Nothobranchius furzeri: one gene and its partner. The protein of the gene in region 1 purifies or fractionates together with the protein of each later gene. This does not show direct contact. Links are inferred from orthologs where the notes say so. Each region holds a gene or a part of one and is shown on either strand. Other genes may lie near its edges. The genes, in order: casc3 and upf2.

Region 1 (15,871 bases):
CACGCAGAAAGGCCACAGCCGAGTTTCAAACCTGCGACCTCCGTGCTGCGAGGCAACAGTGCTAACCACTGCGCCACCATGCAGCCCCATTTATTTAGAAGTTTTAGTTCTGGACAGTCCAATGTTTAATTGCTGTATTCTAAAGGGTGTACTTGCATAATTATGATATATTAACATTACATACATGGTTATTTTGGTCTCAATAATGTAGACAATATTGTTTATAGTCTATAATTTGTTGTTTGAATAATGTGTCCTACACTTTACATTAATGCATGATGGGTTAAAATGAATATTTAGTTTTCCTGTAATAATTTATTTCAGATCTTAAATTACACCAGATTAGTATTTGTTGATTTTAAGAATTTAATTGATCAACATAGTCACACCTCTAATATTATTAATATTTAACATTTGTGCTTCCCATAATCTGTTTAACGTTGTCACTTCACACTAAGAAATTACCTCTCTAAGTATCTGAGGGATCTCCTGAGGTATTTTTGGTAACACCTTTTAAACTTGTCAAATTATGATTTGTACAAATTTGTCAACAACAATTAATAAAAATAGAGATCACTTCCTGGGCTAGTCAGTTCTCTGCCGCCTCCCGGTTCAGGCCGGGTGAGCAAGCATTTGGAACCACCCTCTCTTCTGACTCAAACTCAAAGCCTCTCTGCAACACTTGCAAGTGTACCAGATGCTAAATAGATACGCCAGATTCCTGCCGTCACCTGGAAGGTACCTCAGAGCAGACGGGTCGTGCTCGGAGTTGAACTATGGGTTCCATTACCCTGAGGTCCACTCTACCGGCAGTGTCTATACCGACCTCTTGACCCCCTGAATCACACGAGGGCCTTCAACACAAAGGGTTCGTAGATCCGCACAATGGCGTAGGATGAGTTTACAAATAATCTCTAGCTTATTAAACCATACAGTCAAACTGATTTTACAACCCAAACATCACAATTATTTCTCAGATACTTAATAAGGTTTTGCTACAAACATCTAGCTTACATTCCATAATTTTGTTCATTGTCTGTTATCTTGTACAACCATCCTTTCATTCATAATTTGTCATGTATAATCATTAGTTTAGAAATATATTATTGTGGAATAATATATTAATTTGTATAAACTATATACTTGACTGTCTGAATTAACATGAAGTGTGTGCTCCCTGAATAGTCCAAAGAACCTAAGGTAATATTAAATCAAATATTCAAAGACCAATCAGATTGATAACTCATACTTATATGGAATATTACATCATAATTACCATTTCAAAAATATGAAGCAACAATCCACCATGCTACAAGCAACACAGCTCATGTTCACTTTTGTTTAGCTTATTAACAGGGTATATACAGCAATCCTTAAGTAAAATTTACTACTTTTTAATACCTTTTTTACTACCTTCAGAATTTTTTTAAAACCATCACAACACTAAATTGCAAGTGTTAATCAGCGACCTATTTACACATATTTTAACATATATAACATACAAAAAGAATAGACTTAGAGACTCACTGATGTTGACAACGTATTGCGCATATTTATTTTACTTAGAAAATAAGCCAGGCACTTCTGTTCAGCGGTTCAGACAGTTGACCACGAGGCCTGAAATGATGCAGAACCACTGAATATGACGTCATCATTATGTGACCGGATATGCTAAAGCAGGGCTGCTCGATTATGGCAAAAACAATAATCACGATTATTGTGACTGAAATTGAGATCTCGATTATTTAAGACGATTTTTCAATTTATGTTGATTTTTTTTTTTTATTCAGTCATAAAACTGCTCAGGGCACAATCAGGGCAAAAATAAACAAGAAACAAGATGATCACTAAAGGAACTCCTGATTCCCAGTATAAAAAGACCAATATACTCATAGCTCATAGTTTATAACCCAAGGGCTGTAGACCTTGGTTTAACTCATTTAAGTCTAACCAGTACAGACCCAAATACCAATATCTTGCAAATACTGACAGCAAGAATTATACAGTGGCATTTATAACAAATAAATGCAAATAAATTGATGTTCACAAAATGTTGCATAACATTTATTTAGCCATGTCAATGTGCTGTAGGAGCATGCACTAGCACCGTGTCCTCAGAGAGATTAGTTATTAGTTATCAGCGTGAGGATTGAGGAACTTATTTCTACCTTATTTATAAACTATTTATTTACAGGTCCATCAGTTAATGTAATAATTGTCCCAACCACAGCTGCACCCCCCACCCCCACTCACAGCAATCGGGGCAAGCTGCATGTGTGTTTAGCACGCCGCATGCGCACATTTAGCTGTTTTTAGTTGCTCAGGAGCCTGCGGGTACAGTGTGTGTCACTCACTCTGGTTACTCCAACAGGGAGCCGACTCTGAGAGCCGTTTCTTTAGCGACCGACACATCACTACATCATTCCCTTTCCTAATGTCCTGAAGAACGGTCCGGAGCGCAGGCGGAGTGTTTAGCTAACCTGCAGCAGGAAATGTCGACGACAGTTATCCAGAAAGTAGCTAAGGGTTACCAGAGATGTTTCTGAGGTGTTCGCTAGGTACTTTTAAGATTTAAAAAGTCAAGAAGGGGGTCTGAAAAGCTGCTAGAAATAGCATCAAAGTTGCTAAGTTGGCAACGGAGCGCTTCATTTGTAACAGGGCAGCTCAAGTGGGAGGAGCAAATAATCAGCTTGTTTTATTTTTATAATCGTTCAAAACATTTCATTCGGAATATATTTCTATGTCGATGTTCAGAATACGACATCTGATAGTCTGAAAAAAATAATACCTAACTTGGAAAAAATAATACCTCTGAGACCAAATTTAACACTTTTAATGGCCTTAAATTTGACTATTTTTATTTATCACTTTTTAATACTTTTTAAAACCCCGCGGACACCCTGATTGAGGAGGCAACCACTGACTTTCTTAAGCGTCTTTAACACTGCCCACATGCCCAGGAGCCCACATGCCCGGGAATTTCCGCATTTCTGAGAAGTCCTTGGAAACTATACGAGAACAAAAGCCCCCTGTACGAGCCCGAACTGACACAGCCATACTGATACAGATGTGAAAGTGGTTTAAGTCAACCTACAATAGGTTTCCGTTAGACCTGCACAGCGGCACTCACCTGGGTCTACGCTGTCTGTACGCTCGGTCTCCAGAACCGCCACCATTCCGGATGTCATAACCGTAAATAGCAATGAGTTCCTCACGGCTCTTTGGAGCCTGCTCCTCCTCCCTGAACTTGTCGTGTTCCCAGCGGCCCTCGTCCTTCCACAGCTTCCTATTTCGCCCTTTGGGTCTGAAAGAAGAGATTTTGTTAGACCCGGTCTCCAAAGAGCCGATATAGGACCAGTACCAGATAAGCTCACCTCTCTTCCTCCTGAGTGTGGCCGCGGACATCATGCTCAAAAAACAGTCCCTTCCTTGGGATGTAGGCAGGGTTCTTCCTGTCTTCATCATCATCAAGCTGCTGACCTGGTTTCCCTCCAGCCTTTGTCTCTGGACCATTGGTGGACTCCTGCAAAAGTTTTTACCATAACTCTGCTTCAACATGAAATAACATTACCAAAGTTCACACATTCTTATAACGGATAGCTCCAGGTTTGACAGTGAAATGTAATACCTTTTGATGACTGTTAAGATTCAATGCTGGGTTCGCAGCTGGAAAAACAAATATAAACTTGCAATAGAATTAAAAAAAATATATATATATATATACACATATCTACCTATCTATCTATATCTCTATCTCTATATCTATTTATATCTATGTATAACTATCTCTCTCTCTCTCTCTCTCTCTCTCTATATATATATATATATATATATATGTATGTATAGGGGAGCTGAAACAACTAATCTATAATCAATTATTGGAAAAGTTGACAACTTATTTAGTCTTCGACTAGTTGTTTTATAATCACGTTTTATTGTAAGTCTTCTATTTTTAAGACAAGCTGTTAAATTTGCAGCCAGTGTGTGGCAGTAATGAGTCACTGATCTAACAGTGGAGCAGCAGAAGAAGCATCAGCCAATAGGCACCCTTGATTTTCATGACGTACCACACACATGGCTGACGCGCATGCTCACACTGAGGAATATGAAACGGTACAGGAGAAAAACAGAAACCATAAAAGTGAAGAAAAAACCAGAACAAAAACATCTAAAGTATGGGAACACTTTACTCTAGATGCCGTGAAAAGACGGGTGACCTGCAAGATATGCAAAAACGATCTAGCATGGCACGGAAATACAATTTCTCTAAATGAACATCTGAGACCAAAACATTTCGGAGTTGATGCAGCAGAAGAGCCAGCCCGGTAAGAAACTTACACCTAATGAGAGAATATACATGCAGTGGTTCCTCACTATAACGCAGATCACTGTTTGTGACTTTGCCGTTTCACTGAGCTTGTTATAGTACAATTTTACACCAGGGTTTCCCCCAGCGCTTTGCTTGGCGGGCCGCCAGACTAAGCATCATGCTCCACCCCCCTCCCTGACTGTGTCCACTGACACGAATGGCGCAATGAAACTAGAGCCCTCCATCAGCTGATACTGGTGAGAAACAGCAGCGGAACATGTGCAACCACCCCACCCCTGCTCTCACGGAGGAGCACTAATAAAACCACTTTGACTGTATTCATTTTTTTAGTTAGCCGTTGTCTCCTGGTAACACTTAGCGTAATGCCGTCTAAAGTGGATTTTCTGAGTCCTGCTAGATGGACACAGTATCAGACAGATTCCTGTATCGGGCCATCTATAATTCTGTAGATTCCAGTTCTTTAGAGAAAAGATGGAATTGGCCAAGTTTAACTCATTCACTGCCATTTGCATTTTTTTACTGTGTGGGCATAGGAACGAGTCCCCACACCGCGAGAACAAACATCTCAGCTCTAAAGCCAATCTTCATCTGCATACGGCACACATCAAGTGACCAGGAAGCAGAAAATCCATGTGTTAGGAGGTCCTTTTGGGCCACTGCTGTAAAACAAATAAATAAATAAATAAAAAATAAAAAAAGTGTGGCGCGAACCAGAAAAGCTTCTGCAGATCACAATTCAATAACGGATTATGAAAGAACAGATAAAGCTCGAAACGCACGGATTCTTCCTGCTGTAAGAGGTATCATCATCCTAGTGCGCAATGCTCTGTGACTCTTAAAAAAACAGTAAAAATGGCACACAAAAAAAAAACCGCTGGCAGGGAAGGGCTTTATCGGTCAGGAAACAGCTGGCAGCGAATGAGTTAATATCAGCTGCTCAAAGCTGTACAAATATCAGAAATATGTATAATTACACAAAATTTACATAGGTCCATTTTTTTATTTATTGTGCAGAAATTTATCAGAATTTAACCAAATGATAACCACCTCTTAAAACTTCCCATTATGTCAAATGAAGCTCAGACTAGCTCTGGAACAGAGCAGCTGAGCCAAATGAACATGGACAAAAAGACAACAAAGAGCTAAAAAGCTGTTTATGCATCAGAACCTGCTGACCAGATCCATCTGGATTTCCTGAGTCTCACCTGTCCATCACCACTCTGCCTCTCTCCTGTGAGGTTTTCCTTGTCCTCCCCCTTGGGCTCCTCCTTACTGTGTCCTTCTGCTTCCTCCTCAGCCTTCTCTTCCTCTTCCACCTCCTCCGGTTTTGGGTCGACAGCAACTGAAGGTTTGGGCTCACTGGTTGCTGCTGGAGCTTCCTCTTCACTGTAACCCTCCTCTTCCTCCTCTACCCCCTGGAAAAAGAATTTTTCAGAAACATCTCTTCTTCAGTTTGGTCTTTGAATTGGCATCCTTAGGTTGTTGTGCCAGATCTTTGACCAATCTGAACGTCTTTTCAATCCTACAGTCAAAAACAGACTCAGTTCTTGTCTGAGGGAAGGAAACTGGGAGTTGTGTTAGGCTGGATTTACCTCTGAATGGGAGCGGTTTTCCTCCGGATCAGCACTGTCATAATCTGAGAGGACAGCTGAACAAAACAGAGCCAGAGTCATAAAATCAGGAATCACCAACAACAAATCTAACGTGGAGCTGGATAACCAGGAGAGGCTCTTACCTTCTCCGGCTCCATCTTCACTCTCCTGCAATGACAAACAGGATCAAAATGACAACGTGAAGAATCTGGCTGCCTTTAGGTGTCAGGATAGACTCTTTCCTGGTGAAGGGGATGCTAGGTTCCTCATAATTTTACAGTGACATATGTGATGTCTGACTTGTAATCATTTTAATTATGAATTTTAACAAGCTAATAAATCTTAAATTACCTGACAGTTGAAAGAAACTCAAATCATTTTTAATTAACTCCAAGTACAACATACAAGTTATTCAGGGCTTACTGCAAAGCAGATTAGAACATAGCTTTTAAAGCCCCGTTCACTTGCATTCTTTTTTTATTTGTTCCAGGGACCCATGGACCAAACGAACAAGTAGGAGACTTTGGCTCCTTATTACTGTTGGCTCAAATACAAACACAGATGACAATAATGGAAAATATTTTTTAATCAGGACACTAGTTCATTTAACAAAGAGCGAGAAGTGTTCTCGTTAGCACGTTTTACTTGATGGTAAAAATCTTCTTTAGTTGAGACCTGGGTATCAAAACATGTTTATCCCCAATACATTTTGAAGTGATAATGTCCTCACGAACAATTATTTAGAAATCAACCCCTAAATAATTCATTTGACACATTTTATCTTAATGTAACCAAGTGTAATGCAGATGAACAAGTAAGGCCTGTAGCTAAAGGGTGGTACCCCAATGACATAAAATGTAGTGGACACTGAGGCCTTGAGACATGTCAAGCCCTCAGTCCCCTGATGGGTGAGGGTCAATGACTGCCTGGGTGAAGCTACTCAGTCATGGGAATCCAGCCTCGCGCATCTTCTGAATCAGAGTATTCTGATTTGTGATTACGAGATTTTATCTATGTCGTAACGCCCCTTAGTGCAACTGGGGCTAATCTGTGATTAATCAGAACTAACAGGGTCTTTAGATGTAATGGAACCACCACGGGTCTGAAGTCCAGCGTGGAGCCGCAGACTCAGGCGAATATCAGGGTGACTTTTAGCTCTTGGTTCGGCAGAAGAATCCACTTGGACCTCAGGTAACCATCCTCTATTCTCCAGTAACGGTTCTGAGAGACTGTTGGGACTGAGCCGGTGTTATGTCACATTTTGTTCCCGAGTAAATGTGGTTCAACTGCCACCTTTTCGTCTCAGATCATCGAACTACGAATGAACGACAAAACCCATCTCCTTACTGATGAACTAGTTAATCACCCACAGTCACGTCGAACCTAATGGTACCTCTAGAGAGCCTTAAGGTTTTTCTGGAAGCGGAATAAGTCAGAACTTTTAGCCCGAATTCCAAGCTTTGTGATGGACGGACCAACGTTAGCTGCTGGAGTTAGCCTGAGTAGCTACTCACACACTCGGACTCCACGTCGCTCTTCGCCTCGGTCCGGCTCTCTGTCACCTCCACTGGTTCGGGATCTCGACCTCGAGCCTTTGTCACGGGAGAACCCGACCTTCCGCTGTCCGAACCAGAACCGGACTCGTCGTCCTCGCTGTCCTGAGACGCGCGCCTCCTCCTTCGCCGCCGGTCCGCCATCTTAGGACTGGAATGGTTAGTAACGGAAAAAGCAACGCATTATGGGTAATGGTGTTCTTTTGGAGAGCAAATTCTCCCAGCTCTTTGATGTCTACTGCCGCCCTCTGGAAATGATTAGTACAACAACGATGTAATAACTATTTTAATTTGAACGTGTACGTGAATAAACTAAAGCAATTTTTACACATATTAGCCGTTACAAAAAAGTATGAATAATCTGGAACACCTGCACGTTAAATCAACAATGTAACCTACAAAAAACTGCTGGGAATCAAATTGTTGCCCTCATTTTCTAAGAAGATGCCAACTAGAGAACGTCCAAAGATCGGAAGTAAGTTGAAAAACTGAAATAGTGGCGTGTGTGTGTGTGTGTGTGTGTGGGGGGGGGGGGGGGGGGGGGGTCGTCTTTATGGTAAGTATGCTAAAAATATGTATAAAACTACAGGCTAGAAGGGGCTCTTTTATGCAATGTCAGGAATGCAGAACTGTCAATTAACATGTGCTCTGAAGTCACGTGGCTCTGATGCTCATTAATTATTCAGAATTTTAAGCATTAAATTACACTTTAAACAGAAGAGTGACAAAAAATCACCCCCTCAGAGTTGTCATGAATGTAAACTAGATCTATTAAACCTAAAGTGATTTTTTTAACCAGGCTGTAAACATGTTTTTTTTTTCTGCTGTGAAAATGGCATTTTTAACATGGGAGTCAATGAGGATTTGCTCACTTCTGGTAGAAGCCCCTTGGCCTGGCCTGCCAGACTCTTCCTCTGTTTAATTATGCACAGAGAGAGGGTGAAGAAAAGGCCAGGGGTCTCATTTATCAAACGTTGCGTAGAATCCTTACTAAAACCGTAAGCTCAGCAAAAAAAAAATGTACTTACGCCAAGTAGGTTTATGATCTATCAAACATGGAGTACGCACAGCTACACGCAATCTCCGCTTCATAAATTGGAGAATAATGAGAATGTTTCTCAGCTGCATTTTAGTCACATCCCGCCCTCACCACGCCCACTTACTGCCATAAATAGTCAATGCAAAGTGCCTTGTGAATCTTATGCATATACATAAGCCAGCTGTTGCAGCATTTCGATCACGACTGCAGATCAAGGAAGCGCTCTTTCACAAGCAGAAATTCAGGTACCTGTGGGTGAGGTGGAGAAATGAAAGGAAGTGCTTTTGTAAAACAAGAGAAAATTCACTCAGTGGCACAGCGTTGCTGAAGCCGTCAATGCTGAGTTCTTCAGAGAGATCTGTGGCGGATATTAAAAAAATGATCCGATCAGGATTCAATCCCCAGACTCCCGGATGAAAGTCATGCGTGCTAACCAGTCAGCCAAACAGAGATCTTCCTTGTACAAGTAGCCAGGGCGCATGATCAATCGGGTCACAGTGACAGGACACTTACATTGTCACTTACGCATGACATTCTGTATCAATCTGTCACCTTGCTAATTTTCTGCATTCCGTATTTTGCGCATCAGACTGTGTGTGTGCGCGCCAGGTGCACGCGCATGTGTGTGGGAGGTCTTGTTCCGTGTGAAAACGAAGCAGTACAAGGGATAATGCTCCAAGGCAGCTGTGGCTACATTGTAGCTCATCCCCACCAGCATGTAAATGTGTGTGTAAATGTGTGTGTGAATGAGTGTGTGAATTGGGGCATGACTGATTATGTTGTGAAGCGCCTTGGAGGGTTGTTGAACCGAGGCATTATACAAAAACAGGCCATTTGGGCAATATGCTTCACCTACCTTGCCTCCTGGATAGTCTGAGGGACCGTAGGCACCTATCAGGTCGTAACCTCAATTCTTTCAGCGAACCCCAGAATAGCTGTGGCTATTTATCTCAATCTGTGTGAATGTGTATGCGTGTGCTTTGGCGTCCTCTGGCTTAGATAGGTGCTATGCAAGAGCAGGCCATTTACCATATGTTTCACGGGTCAAAGAAGAGTCAGACCCCAGAAAATCCAGCTGACCTTGACCCATTTCATCGTCAATTGATCTCATTGTGGTTGACTCATTTCAGATTCAGACTTTTAAAACTAAACATGATTTATTTTATTGTTTTGCACAGACTCTCATCTCTCAAAACAGAAATCAAACATCACTAAATTAAACATTGCTAAATAACCAATCAGTTGGTTGGCTTTATCTGACTCCAGCAGAATAAATAAACAGAACTTCAACAGTTTGGTTCTGACAAAACTTGTAATGAATACATCTCATCATCAAACAGGTTTAAAAAGTAAAACTTTATGAGTTCATCATCATTAAAGTGGCATCTCTCAGTCAGCATTCATAACATAAATCATCCCTCTGAAATTTACTGAGAAATTCTCTTCAAGATGCTGAATGTAAGAATTAGTTTATTCACATGTTACAGAGTCTGTAAGTCCTACGACCGTTTCCTCCTCAAGGTGTTTCACCTGACGCTCATCAGAGACGATCTTTTTCTCAGGGAGAAGAGGCATCAAAATAGATTTCAGTCTCAAACAGGAAATGTACTCTTCTTCAGGCATCATGTGCAGAAGGTCAAAATTTAGCACCTCACTGCAACACAGAGGTCAAAGGTCAAACTGTTAATGAATGTAAAAGCAGCGTGACTAAACACCTTGAGTATAAAAAAAATGAAAGAAAGAAAACAAGGTCTAAGTGGAAGAATCGTGAAAAATTGAAAACAAAAACCAAAAAATATATTTTAAATTTTTTTGTTATTTATTGAAAGAAAATTATTTAATTTGTATAAAAGAATGAATAATGAAAAATAAATAAGTTAAATATTTTTTTTAATAATGGACCCATTCAAACTAAGTCTAATTAAAGAAGCTGATCAGTATCAACTGAGTTGGGTCCATGGAGCTGAGCATCAGTTAATTTAAAGCTGGTCTATTCGGTTCTGGGCCCAGGTGATTCAACCACTGAATCAAGTGTGTTGGAGCAGAGAAACCACTAAAACATGCTGGATACTGGCACTTTACTGGCCTGGTATTGAATAGCCCCAGTTTGTGGAATAGAGTAATACTTTATTCATCTCAGTGAGAAATTTACTTAATATGAACTCACCATGCAGCTGTGTCCAGGGGCAAAGGTCACAGCTTTCATCACTCTGTCCTGAGATCCACTGCTGCTGCCGCTCACTGAACTCTTCCTCATGATGCCTTCAAATCACAGGAACACAAGCATGTCCACACACGCACGCACGCACGCACACACACACACACAGTGAGTATGAGACAGTTATGTGATGTTGGTTTGCCGACTGCAGTGCATCTCCTTACTTGTAGGGCGCGATGGGTCCGATATCTGCGAGCTGGTTTTAGGGGTGTAGCTTCCAGTCTTTGACAAACGGCGATGGCGGTGGTTCAATATGGTCGCTGGAGACATTACACCAGGGGGTGGAACTTTACCTTTCTTCCGATACAGCTCCTCCATTTCTCGCTTTTGACTCACCTGCAGCTTCTGCACCTGCACCAGGTGTCTATTTAAGAGAGGCCTTGGTTAGAGATACTTGTGTGAGAGTAAGGCTGTGAAATGTTTATATTTTCTGGACAGACAAGAAGGCTGCAGGAGGCAACTGTAATGGGACTTGGTTAAACTTGTTTTAGCAGTTTCACTGAGAAACCGTTTTTACTTGTTATTTTTATTGGCCACTCTGAGTTTCACATGCAGGCCAAATGTGAAAATAGTTTTCTGCCTCTATTTCCTGCATAAGTCGTCGATAGAAAATCGACAGGGAAACGCTCGGATTAGAAAAGCAACAAAGATCTACGTCCCACTCATGAACTCCACCATTTTGTCTTGCGATGGGGAAGGCTGTATTTGTTTAGTGTTCAGGAGAGAGCAGAGCATGTCTTGGCTAGTAGAAGCTAACTGTTAGCATTAGCAACTACACAAAATGGCAGAACACCTTCAGGCTTGTGGTATTTGTTGAGATAAAACATCAACATTGCAAAGAGAACAGATTAAGTGGTGGAGTCACAGTGCAGTTAGCCAATCAGAGGTGAGTTGTCAAAATATCAGGAAATAATAATACTCCAAGTCCTGATGTCTTCTGCTCCCCTCTGCTTCAACTAACTCCTACTTCCCGAAACATGAGCATGAGAGCTTTTTTTCCCAAGGAGATTGTCTCACAAGACATTCATTTATACTAGAGACCACTGCAAAAGTATAGAAAAAGTGAGTGAACTTGGTCTCTAAATGATCAGCCCGAAATTCACAACAGGGTGAAACTCAACCACCAATAAAATGAAAATCAAAACAACCAACAAAATGTCATACGCGCCGGTGGACGAAGCGGAGACAAGGTGAGGATCCAACGCGGGTGAGACAAACAGGCAGGCAAATAGGAATGATGAACATAGATTTATTAAGCACGCTGACACTGGAACAATGAGGCAACAAGAGACAAAGAACTGGAGGGGTTTAAATACAGGAGGGCTGGGTGCTTGGGTGATTGGGAAACAAGAGGCAGGTGGGAGCAATCAACAGGGACACAGGCTGAACCAAACGGGGAGACAGGACAGGGTGTGAGAGTGCCCCCCCTCAAAGGGCGGATCCCAGACGCCCACAGGAACAAGGAGCAGGGTGGGAGGAGGGGGACCCGGAGGGAGGGCCCAGAGGAACCGAGGGACCGATGGAGAGGCGGCAGGGACCAGCAGAGTCCGGGAGCCTGCGCCTGGGACAGAGGAGGAGGCGACGGGCCCTTGGAGACCGGCGCCTGCGGCAGATGAGGAGGCGACGGGCCCTTGGAGGCCAGCGCCTGCGGCAGATGAGGAGGCGACGGGCCCTTGGAGGCCGGCGCCTGTGGCAGATGAGGGTCTCTGCAGGCTGGGCCGGGGACATAGTCTCTGCAGGCTGGGCCGGGGACATAGTCTCTGCAGGCTGGGCCGGGGACATAGTCCCTTGGACGGGCTGGACCAGAGCGACCTTCAGAACCACCATTGGAACCGGAGACGGTGGAGACGTCGGACCAGAGAGAGCATCGACCTCTAGAGTGGAGAGAGCGTCAACTTCTAGAGTGGAGAGAGCGTCAACTTCTAGAGTGGAGAGAGCGTCGACCTCTAGAGTGGAGAGAGCGTCGACCTCTAGAGTGGAGAGAGCGTCGACCTCTAGAGTGGAAAGAGCGTCGACCTCTAGAGTGGAGAGAGCGTCGACCTCTAGAGTGGATAAGGCGACTTCAGACGAGACGACTTCAGAGGTGACTTCAGACGAGACGACTTCAGACGAGACGACTTCAGACGAGACGACTTCAGAGACGACTTCAGAGGCGACTTCAGACAAGGCGACTTCAGAGGCGACTTCAGACGAGGCGACTTCAGAGGTGACTTCAGACGAGGCGACTTCAGAGGCAACTTCAGGCGAGGCAACTTCAGACGAGACGACTTCAGAGGCGACTTCAGACGAGACGACTTCAGACGAGACGACTTCAGAGGCGACTTCAGACGAGACGACTTCAGAGGCGACTTCAGAAGAGACGAGACTGCTTCAGACGAGGCGACTTCAGACGAGAAGACTTCAGACGAGACGACTTCAGAGGCGACTTCAAACGAGACGACTTCAGAGGCGACTTCAGACGAGACGACTTCAGACGAGACGACTTCAGAGGCGACTTCAGACGAGACGACTTCAGAGGCGACTTCAGAAGAGACGAGACGGCTTCAGACGAGGCGACTTCAGACGAGATGACTTCAGACGAGACGACTTCAGAGGCGACTTCAGAGGCGACTTCAGACGAGACGAGACGACTTCAGACGGGGCGACTTCAGACGAGACGACTTCAGATGAGGCAACTTCAGACGAGGCGACTTCAGACGAGGCGACTTCAGACGAGACGACTTCAGACGAGATGACTTCAGACGAGACGACTTCAGAGGCGACTTCAGACGAGACGACTTCAGACGAGACGACTTCAGACGAGGCGACTTCAGACGAGACGACTTCAGAGGCGACTTCAGACGAGACGACTTCAGAGGCGACTTCAGATGAGACGACTTCAGAGGCGACTTCAGACGAGACGACTTCAGAGACGACTTCAGACGAGGCGACTTCAGACAAGACGACTTCAGACACGTCGACTTCAGAGGAGATGACCTCAGACACGTCGACTTCAGAGGAGACGACTTCGGACACATCGACTTCAGAGGAGACGACTTCGGACACGTCAACTTCAGAGGAGACGACTTCAGACACGTCAACTTCAGAACACGAGGGAGCGTCGACTTCAGAACACGAGGGAGCGTCAACTTCAGAACAGGAAGGGGCGTCGACTTCAGAACACGAGGGAGCATCGACTTCAGACTTGGAAGGGGCGTCGACTTCAGAACAGGAAGGGGCGTCGACTTCAGAACAGGAAGAGGCGCCGACCACCATCTACTTCTGGTCCGGGGGCGTCGGCTTCTGGTCCGGGGGCGTCGGCTTCTGGTCGGGGGGCGTCGACTTCTGGTCCTTCGATTTCTGGACCGTCGACCTCTGGACCGCCGGCCTCTGGACCGGAACCGGAACCGTCTGCTTCTGGTCCGGGGGTGTCTGCTTCTGGCCTGGGGGAGTCGGCCTCTGGTCCGGGGGAGTCGGCTTCTGGTCCGGGGGAGTCGGCTTCTGGTCCGTCGACTTTTGGACCGCCGACTTTTGGACCATCGGCCTCTGGACCGGAACCGTCTGCTTCTGGTCCGGGGGAGTCGGCTTCTGGACCCTCGACTTCTGGACCGCCGACTTCTGGGCCGCCGACTTTTGGACCGGATCCGGTACCGTCTGCTTCCGGGCCGGTCCCCTCTGCTTCTGGGCCTGATCCGTCAGCTTCTGGGCTGGTTCCGTCAGCCGATGGGACCGGTGACGGGACGGTTGGCCTAGCCGGGGGCAGGTCCAAGGCGCTGCATCGGGCAGGGGCAGCGGCGAGTCCGCAGCTCTGCCCCGGGACACAGGGCTGCGGTGGAGCTCGGCGTTCTTCTCCACGCCGCGGACCAACTCCGGGGGAACAGACCGCCAGTCTTCTGCCCACGAAACTGGAGCGATCTGGCAGCAGCTCCCGGTCCAAACAAGCCTCCGGTTCCGGGAGGACAGGGAGGAACGCCGCGGCCGAAGGTCGGCGATGGCGTCTTCGGCGAGGCGAAGCATGGGGGGGGGGGAGGCCGGCCAGTGATCAGACGAGAGGAACCGGAGCAGGCACTCCCAAGGCAGAATCTCCCAGCTGGATCCATCAACGGGTTCGGGTGGACGAAGCGGAGACAAGGTGAGGATCCAAAGCAGGTGAGACAAACAGGCAGGCAAATAGGAATGATGAACATAGATTTATTAAGCACGCTGACACTGGAACAATGAGGCAACAAGAGACAAAGAACTGGAGGGGTTTAAATACAGGAGGGCTGGGTGCTTGGGTGATTGGGAAACAAGAGGCAGGTGGGAGCAATCAACAGGGACACAGGCTGAACCAAACGGGGAGACAGGACAGGGTGTGACACAAAACAAAACAAACAATAGCATGGCTAGCACTCTTGCCTTAGTGGAAGAAGGTTGCAGATTCAAAACCCAGCTGTGGGTCCAGAGTCCAACTCTTGGTCCCCTTCCTGGGAGGGCCGGGGACAACAAACCTGTTTGTCCCCCTCTATTGACAGGCGTGGCCTTGAGTACACTTACCAACAGTGGCTGAGAAGTGTGATCCCCTGTAGATAAAAGACTCTCTCTGGTCCTAGTTTTTGAAAATTTAGACCACCTTGTCAGACTGCCACTCAACCGGTGTTGTTCCAGCTCTCCAAGTGACATGGAGAGGCATGTCCATCATGAGAGCCAAACAATACCCAGAGCCTTTGGTATTTTAGTGCAAGTCTCATCCACCCCTGGCACCTGGCACTCTGCCATTCTGGAGCTTTTAGACTACCTTGATGGCCTCTTCCAATGTGACAGTGTTAACTCTACAGACGCTGCCTCCTCAGGGGAGGACATGATAAAGGGATTGAGGAGTATTTGATCCACCACCCAACGATATCCCCAATACAAATCAGCAGTTCTCCCATTATTCAACCCATAAACTGCATTGAACAAGTCCTGCATTTCGCTGCAAGTCTGCTTCCTCAAGTCCAATAGAAAATCCTTCATGATCTTATCAAATTCTTCCATTGCCAAAGTTGTTGCTCCTGTAATCACTGAATTGGGACAGCTAAGCCTCAAAGATATTCTTCTGCAGCTTAACGACTTTCAAATGTCTTGTGTCATCCAACACCCTCCATCAGTTCCTATTCCCACAACAATAGATACCGATGA
Region 2 (15,262 bases), on another chromosome or scaffold:
CCGACAGACAGGCGGTCATCAGATAAACGACCAAACAACAAAAGCTTTAAATAAATGTCCCGAAGAACCTGTGATGTTAGAGATGATGTCATCTTCCAGAGTTGATCAAAACAACCTAAATCCATCATTTCTCAGCATCAGACTAAGATATTTATCATTTTCATCATTAGTTTTTACGCATTTCAGAGTTTAAATATTAAAGATCCTAGTCAGAAACACTGGACTAGATTCTAACGCATGCAGGTGAATCTTTGTGCATTTGTGGAAAAATTAACGGCTCCATTTGAACTCGTAGAGCTTGAAAACGATCCTGCAACACGCCGCTGATTTCAGGTCTAACAGCAGTGGCGCCACACGCTACACACACACACACACACACACACACACACACACACACACACACACACACACACACACAAAGTATGTTTTCCTTTCCTCTCACTGGGCAGGACGTGCTGCACGCTCTGCATGCTGGAGCTGAACTTCACCTCTGCAGATGGTTTCTGGACCCAACGTAAGGATCAGAAAGTGTTTGAAGCTGTTTTCCTGTTTATAAAACAAGAAACAACAACAAACTACCGCTAAACGACGGACGTTCTATAGTCCTAGATTATTAAAATTAGGAGATTACAGCGAACGATTTAGAAATCCTTTATCGGACTCTTCTGATCTCAGGTGCTTCCACACCTCCAGCAGAAGACGAGGCTCCGTGTTTACGATGGGAGTGAGCCGCAGGAGGGACGGTTCAAGCAGGTAGATGACACAGTTCTTAGAAAATGTGCACAAAGCAGAACTGTGTGTGCACCGGTTTGATCAGCCGATCTGCTGCCAGCACATTCCAGCTCGAGCTCGGGTTTTAAAGGTCCCGTTGGAGAAAATCATAAACCTTTAAAATAAAGTCAGTCTGGTGAAGGTCAGAAGTTTGTCCAGCTGGGTTTTTACCTCCATGCCAAGCCGGATGTCCTCCAGCACACCGTCCACCACGTGGATGCCCACGTCCTCCTGGTAGGCCACCAGGCCAGCCAGCAGGTTGGCCACACAGTGGATGCTGTTGTACTTGACGTTCCAGATGTTGATCATGCAACAGATCAGGTAGCTTTTCCCCTCCGGATCCTGCCAGGGCAGCTTCCTCATCTGCCTGAGAACCTTCTCTGTGGTCACCTTGGACAGGTCCTTGTAGAGTAGCTTCCTGATGTACTCCTGCAAGGGCGGCCGCCTCTTCTTCACCGTCTTCTCTATTGGCGGCGGGTTGCAGTAGTAGTAGGCGTTCTCCACCATGGTCACATAGCGGGCGTCCAGATGCTGCGCCTGCTTTTTACGCATCATTTGTTCCTGGAGAGCAGAAAGAAGTAGATGTGAGCGTTACGGACGGAGGTTCATCTGGTAAACCGGTCTCCTGTGCGCTGCGTAAAAATCCTGATGCTCGTTTTGTCAGATTTCAGGAGGGTTTAAAGTGTTTCTGAATCAACTACGTCACAGACTTCTTGAAGGTCTTTGGCTGCTTTTCTTCACATTTTAAAAACACACGAGTGAAGATCAGAATTCTGCTTTTTAACCTCCTGGAGCTTCTCTCTGATGTGACGTTTGGTTCCGCCAACCAGTTTGGGAAGCTAAGGTCTCACCATCAGCTAAAATGATGGTAAATGGCCTGTATTTGTATAGCGCCTTCTTGGGGTTCTACAACCCCCCAAGGCGCTTCACGACACATTCGGTCATTCACACGCTGGTGAGGATGAGCTACGACGTAGCCACAGCTGCCCTGGGGGACAAAAACAGGGGCGAGGCCACCGGTCCCTCTGACCACCACCAGCAGGCAAGGCGGGTTAAGTGTCTTGCCCAAGGACACAACAGCAGTATTCTCTGGTCAGAGCTGGGATCAAACCTGCAACCTTCAGATTACTGGACAACCTGCTCCACCTCCTGAGCTGCTATCCCAGCAAAAATGAAGATTTTACTTCTGTTTGCTGTAAAGCCGGGCGTACACTGTGCGACTTTTTCACTTTTTTGAGCCGATTTTCCACTCGTGCGAGAATCCACGACATCGGGGCGAGTTTTGCGCCGAGCGGTCGTGTAGTGTACAGGGGGTTACGAGAGGCCATTAACACCGCGTGACCAGCTGCCGATCAGCAGTCGTGAGGTCGCACGGACTTCTGGCGTGTTTAAAATTTCGCTCGTCCCTCGTGAGGGTATCGCACTGTTGAAGCGGCGCTGCGAGCAGCTGCGACCCAAAAAGTATCAGAACCGCTCACGGCGCATGCGCAATCCTGCATCAACGCCGCTCCCCGCTATTTCCCTAATAACACACGCTGTTCATTTTACTTTCTACACGTTTTTTTACTCACAAAGATTGTCAAGAAAGCGTGTTTGTCGTGTTCATGTTAAATTAAACTGATCACAAAACACAGATTTACTTTCTTTATTTCGTTTTCCTCATCCAACCCCCATAAATCCCCGTGTGTCCTCCTGCAGCACTCCCGAAGGACAACAGGCAAAACAAGACAAAAAAGTGTTGTGTAAAAACTGCTATTTTTAGCATATTTTAGGGCCGACGTGTTGCTACCAGACGTACAGTGTGAGCAGTCAGGTCGCATGCGAGAACTGGGTCGTACAATGTGAGCACATGACTCGTGAGATCTGCCCTACGAGGAAGTCGTACAGTTTGAGCTGAAGCTGAACGCTGCGAGTGAAAAAGTCGCACAGTGTCCGCCCGGCTTAAGAGGATGAGGACGATTCGTACTGACCAGCAGGACGCTCGTACGCAGGTGAGAGTCTTGTGATCTAAACAGGAAGTGGCCGCAGGTCTCCAGGAGCGTGCACGCCATCTCGATGTGGTGATGAGTGAAATCAGACAGCAGCATCTGCAAAAACACACACACACTCATCTCACATCTCTGTTGGTTGAGAACCACGACAGCTCGGGTGTGAGCTGCTCTTGTCCAGCTTCTCTGGACGTTTAACACAAACCAATAAGTCAAAATCAAGAAGAAAACCACCTTGAGACAATGCAGCGTGTCCGTCTTAGAGAACATCTTGAACTTGGCCAGCTCCCCGATGAATCGGACCGTTTTATTTTTCGTCTCGATGTTGATCTGGTCCTTCTTTCGAATCTAAAAACACAAATTCAATTTCTTCACGACGCCCTCGTGAGAAAACCACCACATGACGAACCGACCAAACAAAATATTTTATTTGAGGCATTTAAGTTCCTTTTAAGTGAATCTGATTAGTGTCTGAACTGCTTTTATTAAACTACGGTACAACTAAAAGGACCCACGTGGAACCTGAAATCTCCCTTCAGCATGGAGCACAGATCCTCGGCCACGTCCGACATGCAGGGATGCAGCGTTGCCACCAGGCGAGAGTAAAACGGCAGGAGGTCCAACCTGCAAGACGAGTCACCAACCTTCAAAACAAAACTCCAGATGACAGCACCTCTTTGTGGCGCCTTAAGGTATCAAAACGACACCTGATAGTCTGCACAAAACCTTCCGTTTTTCTTTTCTGGTTTCATTCATTGTTCAGAGAGCATCTGGTACCTCTGCCTGGGGACGGTGAACAGCGCGCGGACCAGTTTCCTCCGGTTAGATTTGGTGTTCATGTTCATGCAGAAGTCCATGGCAGCCTGAAAAAGTCCAAAATGTAAATAAAAATATGATAAAATTACAGGTGTGAACTTCTCTGTAAGTTGTTTACGTTACAGGCTGAAGCAGAGGTTTACGAAGGACTTTTAGGATCAATGAGAAGAAAAAACAAAAACAACAGGAAGATTCAAAAACAACGTCTGAATCCTGTTTCCAGGACCTGGCTGTATTTATTAGTATTACTGTACCCAAAAGATGATTTTATAAATTAAACTTCACAACTTATTAAGCATTCGATTGCAGAGAAGCAAAGAACTTCCTCTAAACAGGGTATCTGCAGGTTTAACTCGTTCACCGCCGATGACGACTAAAGTCGTCATTTGCATTTTTTTTACTGTGTGGGCGTCGGACGAGCCCCCGCACCGTGAGAAAAAACATCTCAGCTCTGAAGCCGATCTTCATCCGCGTACGTCACACGTCACGTGATCAGGAAGCAGAACATCCATGTGTTAGGAGATCGTTTTGGGCCGCTGCTGTAAAAAAAGTGAGGCGCGAACCGGAAAAGCTTCTGCCGATCACAATTCAACAACGGATTATGAAAGAACGGATAACGCTCGAAACGTGTGGATTCTTCCTGATGTAAGAGGTGAGTCTCCGCTTTGTTTTGGTTGTTTTGGCGTCGACATCATCCTAGCGCGCAACGTTCTGCGTCTCTTAAACAAAAAGTAAAAACGGGAAGAAACGCTGGAAGCGACGGGTTTTACTGATCAAGAAACGCTGGCAGCGAATGAGTTAAGGGAGCCAAATTTAAGACTTTTTAAGACCTTTTTCTGGGCCACACTAACTAGAAATTCACTAAAATTTCACAGAAATAAAAGAATCTTGTTTAGTGGGTCTTTGGTCATTTAAAACCTTTGGAAACTGTATTTAACGATTATTTGTAATTTTTAAGGATTTTTAAGGCCTTTGGAAACGCTAATTTAAGACTTTTTAAGGACCCCCGAATACCCTGTCTAAACCTTCAAAATAAAAGTCTCAACCAGACAAGTGCTTCAAAACTCCTAACGCTTATAAAAACGTTTAATTATATCATAATAATCGTGTTCTCAGATAAAACTCCTTACTTTAAGGTGTACACATCTGTTTGAGACTCTTATTGTGAAAGTCTGGAAGAAGTTCTGCAGTGGATGCTGCTGCAGGAGCTTTTAGAGATGACTCTAGAAACACTCAGGAGCAGCAAACAGTCGGGTTCAGGAGAACAACGGGTTCACGTCCTGCTTCTAGCTTGTTTCTGGATGTTTTCTGATCATTTTTAATAAACACAGACGCCCTGCTGGTCAAGATCAGACAGAAGCAGGGCTGGAACGTTTGTTTATTTTTCATCACCTTGTCTATGAGATCCCGGTTGACACAGTTGGGGAGCTGCTGGATGAAAGCATCCACAATCAGCTTCAAGTGTGACCCCGTGCTCGCCTCCTCATCTTCTTGCTCTGCTCAAATAAACAATAAGAATCAAGTAAACATGATAAAAAACAAGAGTGGAGGTTAGGTCTCACAATCCTTCATCAGATTACTTCCCTCCTGGTGGTGGAATGTGGTAATCTGAAAACTCAGGCGTCTTAAATCTTAAATTTGTAAAATCGAACCAACGTTCTAAAGCAGGTCTGCAGATAAGACCTCATATCACACACATCACGATGAACATCAGTAGATTTATGAGTAAATGTGTGATTTTAACAGGATTTTACTGCGGGATGGGGCTCACCTTGTTCATCCAGCAGCTTTTTGGCCAGTTCTTCATTCTCCACCTCCTCTGCTCCTTCCAGCTCTAGAGGCTCATCTGTGATGTCGAGATTTTCCAACTCCAGCTCCAGTTCCTCTGTGGTGCTGGCCACTTCCTTTCCCTCTTGACCATCTGACAACAACCACTCAATAGTCAGAATAAAGTCCCTTTCTTTAATCACCTTTAGAAGAATAAAACGTACCTTTAGAGTCATCTCTGTCTTTGCTCTGGCTGCTCTTCTCATTGTCCTTGAAGAGGATTGCAGGGATGAAAGCCTTCAGGTCCACCAGGTTCTCGTAAAAGTTCTTAGCGTCTTCGTCCTCCCAGATTCCTCCTTCCAGTTCGTAATCTCCGGGTTTACCGGGGGTGAAGATGTCGATGCCAGGACCGTGCTCTGAGAGGACAAACAGCATGTTGGACAAGTTCGGCTCTATGTGGAGACTAGGGTTGTCACGGTGTGAAAATGTAACATCACGGTTATTGTGACCAAAATTATCACGGTTTTCGGTATTATTGCGGTATTTTTTTAAACGTGTTAAATTTTCACACAACTAAATAAACCCTGTATATCAGGAAAATATTGTCCTCGGTTTGTGTCTAAATTTAGCCTAAAATGTGTTATTTTGTAATGATTTTGTTTATTTGTTTACATATTTCCCCTTTAGTCTTTAAAATACCAATATTTACCCATAACTTCTTATTTTATGTCTGTTTGATGTCATCATTTTAAATATATTAGATCAGATGATACTCAGTACTCAAGTAGCCTTCTAATCAGATACTTTTTTACCCTTACTTGAGTAATAAACCCTATATCAGGAGAATATTGTCCTCGGTTTGTGTCCTTCCAGTGAGCTTTGCAGATGTGGGAAAATGTCATCAGGCAGTAATCGTTGTTAAATTCATAATTATTCTCGGAGAGAGACCAACTCTTATCTGCCCCTGGGAGCCCCGTAATGCATAGCGTCATTTCAACATGGCGGTGTCCGCGACACGGTTTATATGCAGGTAGCGGCGCTGCGGCTGCTTTATATAGCGACTCGTTGCATTCTCCCTCAACCCAAATCCTCGGATCACGCATTTTAGCTAAAATGCTAACGTTAGCTTGCCTTGCGTTGACTGTAGAGTTGTGGGTGATGGTCACGCAGATGTGTCATGAGATTTGAAGCGTTGCTGCCTTTCACAGACACTTTTTCTGCACGTGCTGCAAACAGGATAGCCGTCTTCTATCAACTGTCCCTCGGCATTCTTCAGATATCCAAAAGATGCCCGTACTTCCCACTTTGTCTTCTTTGAGGGATAATAAATGTCATGGGCACTGCCGTCTCCTCCTTTGGCCATTATTTCAGCTTTAGCTTCAAGAAAGTTTTGGTTGTAAACAACAAAGCGCGCATGTGCCGCCGGCAACTTCAGCAGATGATACGGTGGCTGGTAAGGGTCACCGTGCCTACACCGCAGCCACGGTAATCCACCGAGATAATATATGTTTTAAAAAAACAAGACGGTTATTATTATTGTCAACTTTTTTACCGGGGTTTACCGCTACACCGGTTACCGTGACAACCCTAATATGGAATTCATTTTCATTGGAACTCTTTCAGACACACCTTCCTGAACCGTCTTGTCCTGCGGCAACTCTGGCATGTTTTCATCCAGCAGGTCGGCCAGCGTCTGAGTGTTGGCCAGCAGCTTCTGGTAGGACGTGGCAAACTCCTCGTACTGTTTGTGTCGGTCTTCACTCAGCTCACCTTTGGAATGTAATATACGCCTGAAAAACCAAAAAAGAAGGTTTCGGTTCATTCAGAGAAAAGAACCTAAAACAACACCCCAGAAGCCATCTGACCGGTTCTGCCTCTCAATGTTCTGCAGCTCTCGGTGGTCCTTCTTCAGATGTTTGGTGAGGGACGTGAAGTACTCCCTCAGGAGGTTCTGGAACGGCTGCTGCTTCTCCACGCTGATTATTTCGCTAGGAGGGAAGGTCAAGCCGAACTTCTCAGCTGCCAGCTTCACCTTTCTAGGGACCAGACCGGCAATGTCGTCGCCACAGTGCTTGCAGAAGCTGATCACCACCGAGACGTGCGTGTGTGTCTCCCGGTCCGTTCCAATGATGCTCTTCAGTTGCTCATAAATGAGCGACAGGCCTTCTTTGTCTGTGAAGAGGCCGACGATGGTGAGCTCCGCGATGAATCGCAGGTCTGTGCGCAGTTTGCTCACGTTGGGCGCCTTGTCCTCCTTCCTCGCCTCGAAATGCTTCTTCCACGCCTGAAGCAGTAACGGAGCGAACTCGGCGTAGCGCTGGTGGAACAGGGAGCACAGATGGACCGCGCAGCCAACGTCAGAGATCTTCAGCTTGGCCTCCACAACGGAGCTGACGGCCTCACCGATGTACTTGCTGAGGTTGAGGGACGCAAAGTCATTGGAGAGCGTGTCTCGCTGCTGTTCGGTAAGCGTGCGCAGCTTCTTCACAAAGGCCGTGTTCTTTTTCAGGCTGGAGTCCAGCCGGCAGAAGAAGGCCTCCTCGGGCCGACTCTCGTGGGCGTTCTGGTTCTTACAGCGCAGCTCCTTCCTCGACTGATGGCGCTCCCAAGCTTCTTGGTGCAGCTGATGACCTTCGTCCTTTTCTCTGTGAGGATGAAGAGAACACGCGAGACAGAAAGTAAAAATAAGAGTAAAATCATCATTTATAAACAGACAAAAGCAAAAACAACAACAACAGCATGTTATTTTTGTGTCATAATGACTCTGAAGAAGAAAATCAGTCATGGGTGAAATGAATTTCACCAGTGTGTGATGACTAATGGGACCCTGACTGTGAGTGCACACCTCCAGGACATTGAGGAGTGCAGGTTGAGTAACAGCTGATCCGTGTCACCCTGGACAGTCTTTTGGACTCGCGCCCATCTGGAGGGAGGTTCAGATCCATTCGGACCAGAAGCTCTCGCCACAAGAACAGTTTCTTCCCCTCTGCAGTTGGACTCATGAACGACAATCCTAGGGCTGCCCACTCCAGTCGCTTGTTTCAGTCACATGACCCGGTGTTGTGTTTTTACCTGAACTGTTCCGTTCTGATTAGTACCTACACAGTAGCCATCTATCTAATTATTACCACTTTATATTATCATCTCATAATGATTATAATCTTACTTCCTATATTTGCTTACTCCTTATTTTTAACTTTCATTTTTACACCAAGTACCGCAGCAATCTGCTAATGTTGTAATTTCTCGCACATATGGCAATAAAACCTTCTGATTCCGATTAAAGTATGAAGCTTCATACCAGAGTTGTTCACTTACTTGAGGAGAGCCGCCTCCTCCTCACGCTGTCGTTTAGCCTCCTCCTCTTGAAGTTTTCTCTCCTGCTCCTCATGCTGCCTCTTCTCCTCCTCCTCCTTCATCTTCTGCTCCTGCTCTGCTTTCTGTTTCTCCTCCTCCTTCTTCTTTTTCTCCTTTTCTTCTTTCTTCTTCTTTTCCTCCTCTAGGCGCTTTTTCTTCTCCTCCTTGTTGCAGTCTTTTTTACCACTTGCTTTAGCCTCGTCTTTGACTTTGTCACGGGCCAACGGCGGCCTCCTCTCTGCCTCCCTGTCCTCCTTTTCTGTGCTGCTGAAGGAGCCGACGTCTTTCTCATCCATGTTTACTGATCGCTTGCTTTCAGCAGGCATGCTGAGGACAAATTAGAAAAAGAGTAATTTCAGGTAGTTTAAAAATACTTTGTTGATCACATATGTGAGTAAATATTAACGTCCTGTAACTGACTCCATTAAATAAAATAGGAAAACACAAAAATAACCTTCCTAGAAGAGCCTTTGTTCAATATTAAATCAATGTTTGCAGCCTAGATGATAAACATTAGTAAAAGTTTTTAAAATAAGTTTTGCCCATTTTTGCAACTGCCAAGATTTTAAGGCATTAAAATAAGACAAATAAACATAAAGTTATTAAAAAAAAAGGAAAAAGAAATAAAAACCTGCCTGTAACCTTATAAGCCCAATACTTTTATCTGCTAAGTGTTTCTTGGTCCAAAAGGGTATGTAGCATGTAAGGATGCATCTGCAGCATATTTTTACAAATTGTGTGCAAGTTCTTATGGTTGATTACTTTCTAAAACGAGAAAGTGTCAGTGGAAATTAATAAACACAAGTGACAGGTGTCACAATTAGTTCAAGTTTGGTATAACAGAGAAAAAAAAGCCAAAATGTTGCCCCTTTTCTGAAACCAGACAATAACAGGATCCATCAGCTGTTGTCTTCACTGCACTATAAAAAATTAATTTTCATTGAATCTGATTTGTTAACAGTGTAGAAAGTTTGGAAAAACTCCAGAAATATTTCAATCACTTGAAATATAAAAAAAGATTAAAATACAATTCAGTGTTTCTGTTTGTTTAAAGAGCAAGTCACCCCGAAATAAACTTTATTTTCTGATAAACTATATAAATGCGTGACTAATCGTGCTGCAGACACGTGTAGTCAATAGTTTTGCACTTTAGTGCATTTTAGTTCAAATTTTAATCTTCTGCCTAAAACGGTCAGTGTTGTGCCGTTGTCAGGTAAAATTTCTGCACTGCATTTGAATTTAAATCTGCCATCGCTATTGGCTAAGAGGTACCTTAGAACATTAGCTGGTACCATATGATGTCACAATGTTGTTGTGAGCCTGTGTGTGTGTGTGTGTGTGTTTGTTAGCGGCTCTGCCCTCTCGGTCTGCTAGGCAACAGCATTTTTCAAACAGGATGTGGGAGCGGAGTTAATACTCTGGTAGGGAATGACTTGCCCTTTAATTTAGACTTGATGCAAAATAATTATGTGAAATGTGAAACACTGAAACCAAACTTCTCAAGAAAGTGACTCCTAATCTGGGAAAATAACGATTTGTTAGATTAATAAACGCCCGTGTTGCCTGCCATTTCATGTTTTGTCCCTAGTATCAGATAATTGTGTGGTTACTCGTGTGTTGCAGAAATACACATATTAGATATACAAGCATCACGAGCAACCGCTGAATTACGTCATAGGTTTATAGAAAATATTTCATAACGCAGTAAAGCAAGTTTTCACGACGTTTGTGGCTCCTAAAACTACAGAAACCACAATCTATAAATCTTTTAAATTACATATCTATCACTGAAAGTCTGTCACCTTTATTTTTTGCAATGCACAAATAAAAATCTAACAGCTGATGGATTTGGGGACTGATAATTTAATATTTTTGGACATGGCAAACGTCTAAGCGTAACTTCCTCCATTCGCATCGTGACCATAGGTTAGCGTCGTCCTTAGCTTTACGTGTTTGTCATAAAAATATTAACTCTCTCAAGAGTTAACGAGGTGACTCACAACTGCGCTTCGACTAAAAGGCATTTTAACCAACTTTAACGTTAACATTTTTCACAATTACCATACACATACATAAACAACAAAACATGAACTAGCATTAGCGATAGCTAATGAATTGATGAAAACGATGTTAACAAACGTTTAGCTACCGATACTACGTGCACTTAGCGGTTCCGATATTATTTGTAAGATAATGAATAAAACAAAGAGAAAATAAATAACATTTACAATCATCTTGCGGCAGAATGGAAAAATCTTACCTACAAATGACACCAAAACAAACATCGGTAAACAATTTCCCTGTAAACTGAAACAGGACCCTTTCCGATTGGTCTCCCAAGATTTGCCTTACTGAAAATACAACAAAAAATCAAAAACCAACATTTAAGCCGGTTGAAATTACCGGTAATGCTGTACACAAGCATTAGTGTAGTGTGTGAATAGAGGAGAGATATTTTAGCACACTCCATTATTTTATTTAACCGGCAATCCAGGCAGCTGCTTATCATTTAACAGCGGAGCTGTTGGCGGGAGGAAGCAACGTTTAACTCACTCATTCACATATTTATGTTTATACCACATTAATTCTATATTTTTTACATCTTATCCACAAACATAATTTAATATTTTGTTTCTTTACACAATCGGTTGTTTTTTCCTTCCACAATTCTGCTGCTGCATTCGCAGCAACATCTTGGTGTAAAAATGTTGCTAAATGTAATTAAAATACAACACATAAAACTGAAGGTTTACTTACGCCGTTTATTCACCACCATTACACTTTTCAAAAAAAAAAAATTGCCAAACCCTTCTGACTGATCATCAGACTGACCGCCAGCTGGATCAAGGTGAAGGTTCAGGTCCTTCACAGAGATATAAAACACATCTGAAATGTTGTAAATGATGAAAAATTCTAACAATTAAGTTCAGAAACTTTTTTTTGTCAAAACAGATTGTTACAGCAGCAATAAGTGAAACTACACACATCCAGAAAATGAAATGTTTCAGACTTTAAACAATTTAAACGACTTTAAACAACAACCCAACAACAGCCAACATTCTTACTATGAAATCAGTTCATTCATGAAGCAGAGATAAACTCATCCAACAGCTTTGAGTAACATTATTAAAATAACTTGTTTTGGTGCTTTCTTCATAAATCTGAACTTTGGGAAGGCGGAGATAAATAATGCGCTAGATGTGTCGTCGAATAAATACAACATAACTTCAGTGTAAAGGACACAAAAACAAGCTTGAATGTGGACTGCGTAAACCCTTCATTCCAGGCACTTCTGATAAGATGCATGTTTAGGTCAGACAAGACAGGATGTCTAGGGGGAAAAGTAAAACCAAGAAAAACGAGGAAAGTGGAAAAATAAAGTCTAGTTGTGTTTTATTTAGTGCTGAAATGTTTCTAATTCAGGGAGGGTTGATGATGACAAAAGAAAACAAAACAAAAATTACTCTAATTTTCAGATTGCCTAGCTCACTACATTAGCATTTTCTTGTCAAAGTAATAAAGTGATTGTTCAGATCTGTGGATGTTGTGGGAGAAGCTGGTCAGATCTGCAGTTAGCCCGTTGAATAAACTCACCTTATATTTGCAAAGAGCTCCTGCAGTTAACACTTCCTACGCAGCCCAGAGAACTTTCTGCTGAAATATGATCATCGTACCAGCTGGAATAACTTTGTAATGCAGAGCTGAGAGCAATGTAGAGGTTAATAAAACACCAACAGTCGTTTTAGGGCGACGGTGGCACAGGGAGTTAAGTGTTCGCCCCGTAATCAGAAGGTTGCAGGTTCGAGCCCCACTCAGTCAGTCGCTGTCGTTGTGTCCTTGGGCAAGACACTTAACCCACGTTGCCTGCTGGTGGTGATCAGAAGGACCGGTGGCGCCAGTGCTCGGCAGCTTCGCCTGTCAGTGCGCCCAACGGCAGCTGTGGCTACATTGTAGCTCATCACCATCAGTGTGTGAATGAGTGAATGACTGAGTGTGTTGTAAAGCACCTTGGGGGGTTCCAGGACTCTAGAATGTGCTATATCAAATCCAGGCCATTTACCATTTAGAATGACCAGCTCAGTGTCCCAGTGGTAGAGTGTCCGCCCCTAGTCTGGGAGATCGGGGTTCGATTCCTGGTCGGGTCATTCCAAAGACGTAGAAAAAATGGGACTCACTACCTTCCTGCTTGACACACAGCATTAAGGCGTTGGATTTGGGGGGTCAAACCACCATCATCAAGTTCTGATTTTGTTTGCTAATCGAAACCGAACACCATAACACTTTATAAAGCTAAGCTTCATTCTTTTATTCTGAAGGCCAAGTCTGTCTCCAGCAGTTAACGGCTTTTGAAAGCCTGTCGAACACATAAAGGTGTTGCCGTCTGCTTGTTTGCAATAGAAATGAACAACTCAGTGACTCTCCTGTCCTGCTATATGTAGAAAAAAGGTGATGGAAACTGAGCTGATGAGTTTGTTGGGCTGGATTCAGGATTCATAAACACTGCATTTCATTTTACCATCCGATGAAGTCCAGCTGTGTGCGAAACGAGCCTCAGTTCCCTTTCAGACGTTAAGATCAGAGTTTCTGAAGAGTAAAACCATAATTAAACTCTGAACACAGAACTCTGCACAGCGGATTCAGGCTGGTCAGCCTACGGTCTCTGAGCGAGGCGGCTCTTCCCCTCCTCCTGTTCCACCAGCTTGAAGTGAGTGTAGGACAGGATTCCTGCCAGGGTGCAAAGGATCCCCAACGCCTGAGTCACACACAGGGGGGACTCGAGGTTTAGGTGGAAATAACAACAATATAGCTTCAAACCACAGAGAGGGAGAAACAAATCACCTGGTTGAGTGAAAGCGGCTCGTGGAAGAGCAGGTATCCTCCAGTCAGAGTGATGCAAAACTTAAAATGACCAAACATGTTGTAGCTGATTGTTTGAGTCAAGATGACAAGAAAAAATATCTGAAATTCCATCCACAGTTCAATGACTTTAAAATATTATTTGTAAAGTACAGATAAAAAGTCTCCACCTTGATTTAACTAAGCAAACAGGTAGGAGCCTCCTATTGGATAATTACTGCACGGGCGATTATCTTTCTGCTGCAACAGGTTATTAAATATTAAAACTACCAGCTTAAAAATATTAGGTAAAAATCAAGAATTAAAAAACATTGTTTCATGACAAGAAATTTCTTATCATTGCCACAAAACAAATGAATAAAAAACACCTTAAGGGGACGCACTAAAACTCACAAAGATCTTCCGTTAATCCTCAAAGAGCAAGTCACCCCCAAATCAGCTTATTCTTCTGATAAACTATATAAATGAGTGTCTAATCGTGTTGCAGACACGTGTAGTCAACAGTTTTGCACTTTAGTGCATTTTAGTTAAAATTTTAATTTTCTGCCTAAAACTATCAGTGTTGTGCCGTTGTCAGGTAAAAACTCTGCACTGCATTTGAATTTAAATCTGCCATTGCTATTGGCTAAGAGGTACCCTAGAACGTTAGCTGGTACCATATGATGTCACAATGTCGTTGTGAGCCTGTGTGTGTGTGTGTATTTGTTAGCGGCTCCGCCCTCTCAGTCTGCTAGGCAACAGCATTTGTTGCATTTTTCCAACAGGAAGTAATACTCTGGACGGGGGTGACTTGCTCTTTAAGTTCTGAGTGTCTTTAATCAGCATAAGTGATGTTAAAAGGTTAGGGTTAAACCAAACATCCTTCCGAAGGAAACCCCACTAGACAACTCAAATCAAAAGCTCTTAAACCTTCAGAAGAGAAATTGTCAAAATTAATTTGGCAATTATGCTCCTTTCAAAATAAAACTCCATCTTTTAACCCTTTAGAGTCCAGAGTGTTTTTGTTTCTGTGTAAATGAAGGATACGTGACAGCCGAGGTGTTCCCAATGATCCAGTAAATCGACAGGTTGACCAGGAACGCCACCACACCTGAGAACAGGACGGTCATCTGGACAGAAAGACAAACAGCTATATCCACCAGACTTTAGGATGAAATCCTGAATAAAGGCAGCTGTTCAACATGTCACTCTGCTTTATTCTCACAGCCAGAATAAAACCGGTAAGTAAAAGCAGGCAGCTGCCGGCGTGTTTGTGTTACTGAAGTGTTTTATGAATCTGACCAGAGCAGGAAGAGACCATGGTCCAAATATCCCCCCGTCTCCACTCAGAGGCTCAAACATGGGAATGATGCCGAGGAGGAACGCTGACGACAGAGGAGCCTGGAAAAAACAGCAAAATCACTCAAAACAAACAATGTTAGAGAAGTAACATGAAACCAAGCACCAATAAAGACAAAAGTATATCAAATAAAGGTAAAAGTCACTTTGTGCTCAATAAGAAGTTGGGGCTAAAATGTGTTCTACGGCTATCCTGCTGGTTAAAGGGTTAAAAAGTCCTAAATAACCCAAAAGCTGAAGTCGGGGGCTTCTGAGTCAAATCAAATGACATTAAAGGAAACATGTTCTGTAAACATTTAGCATCCTTTTGTGGGTCTCTACTCCCACTACAAACACTCCAAACATGAAGGTTTTGGAGTCAGGAATTA

Evidence for each region.
Region 2: the proteins of casc3 (region 1) and upf2 fractionate together in Homo sapiens (co-fractionation; 3 studies listed by BioGRID and IntAct). This does not show direct contact. The link is inferred for Nothobranchius furzeri from reciprocal best matches to the Homo sapiens genes CASC3 and UPF2.

The regions. Positions count from the first base shown.
Region 1 is NC_091746.1:33,204,620-33,220,490, forward strand, and holds the start of casc3 (protein CASC3), read right to left. Parts: upstream 7,663-15,871; 5' UTR 7,620-7,662; coding exon 7,437-7,619; intron 6,091-7,436; coding exon 6,066-6,090; intron 5,979-6,065; coding exon 5,923-5,978; intron 5,746-5,922; coding exon 5,536-5,745; intron 3,524-5,535; coding exon 3,375-3,523; intron 3,305-3,374; coding exon 3,131-3,304; intron 1-3,130. Other genes in the region: serine/threonine-protein kinase WNK4, read right to left, coding at 10,166-10,168, 10,682-10,776, 10,897-11,096. UniProt on the Homo sapiens protein: Required for pre-mRNA splicing as component of the spliceosome. Core component of the splicing-dependent multiprotein exon junction complex (EJC) deposited at splice junctions on mRNAs.
Region 2 is NC_091741.1:38,104,323-38,119,584, reverse strand, and holds the start of upf2 (regulator of nonsense transcripts 2), read right to left. Parts: upstream 11,055-15,262; 5' UTR 10,960-11,054; intron 9,027-10,959; 5' UTR 9,026-9,026; coding exon 8,661-9,025; intron 7,988-8,660; coding exon 7,208-7,987; intron 7,133-7,207; coding exon 6,972-7,132; intron 5,759-6,971; coding exon 5,567-5,758; intron 5,497-5,566; coding exon 5,347-5,496; intron 5,072-5,346; coding exon 4,968-5,071; intron 3,623-4,967; coding exon 3,537-3,622; intron 3,384-3,536; coding exon 3,275-3,383; intron 3,108-3,274; coding exon 2,994-3,107; intron 2,859-2,993; coding exon 2,742-2,858; intron 1,333-2,741; coding exon 943-1,332; intron 1-942. Other genes in the region: slc35e3 (solute carrier family 35 member E3), read right to left, coding at 13,262-13,283, 13,355-13,452, 13,539-13,623, 14,583-14,665, 14,838-14,936. UniProt on the Homo sapiens protein: Involved in nonsense-mediated decay (NMD) of mRNAs containing premature stop codons by associating with the nuclear exon junction complex (EJC).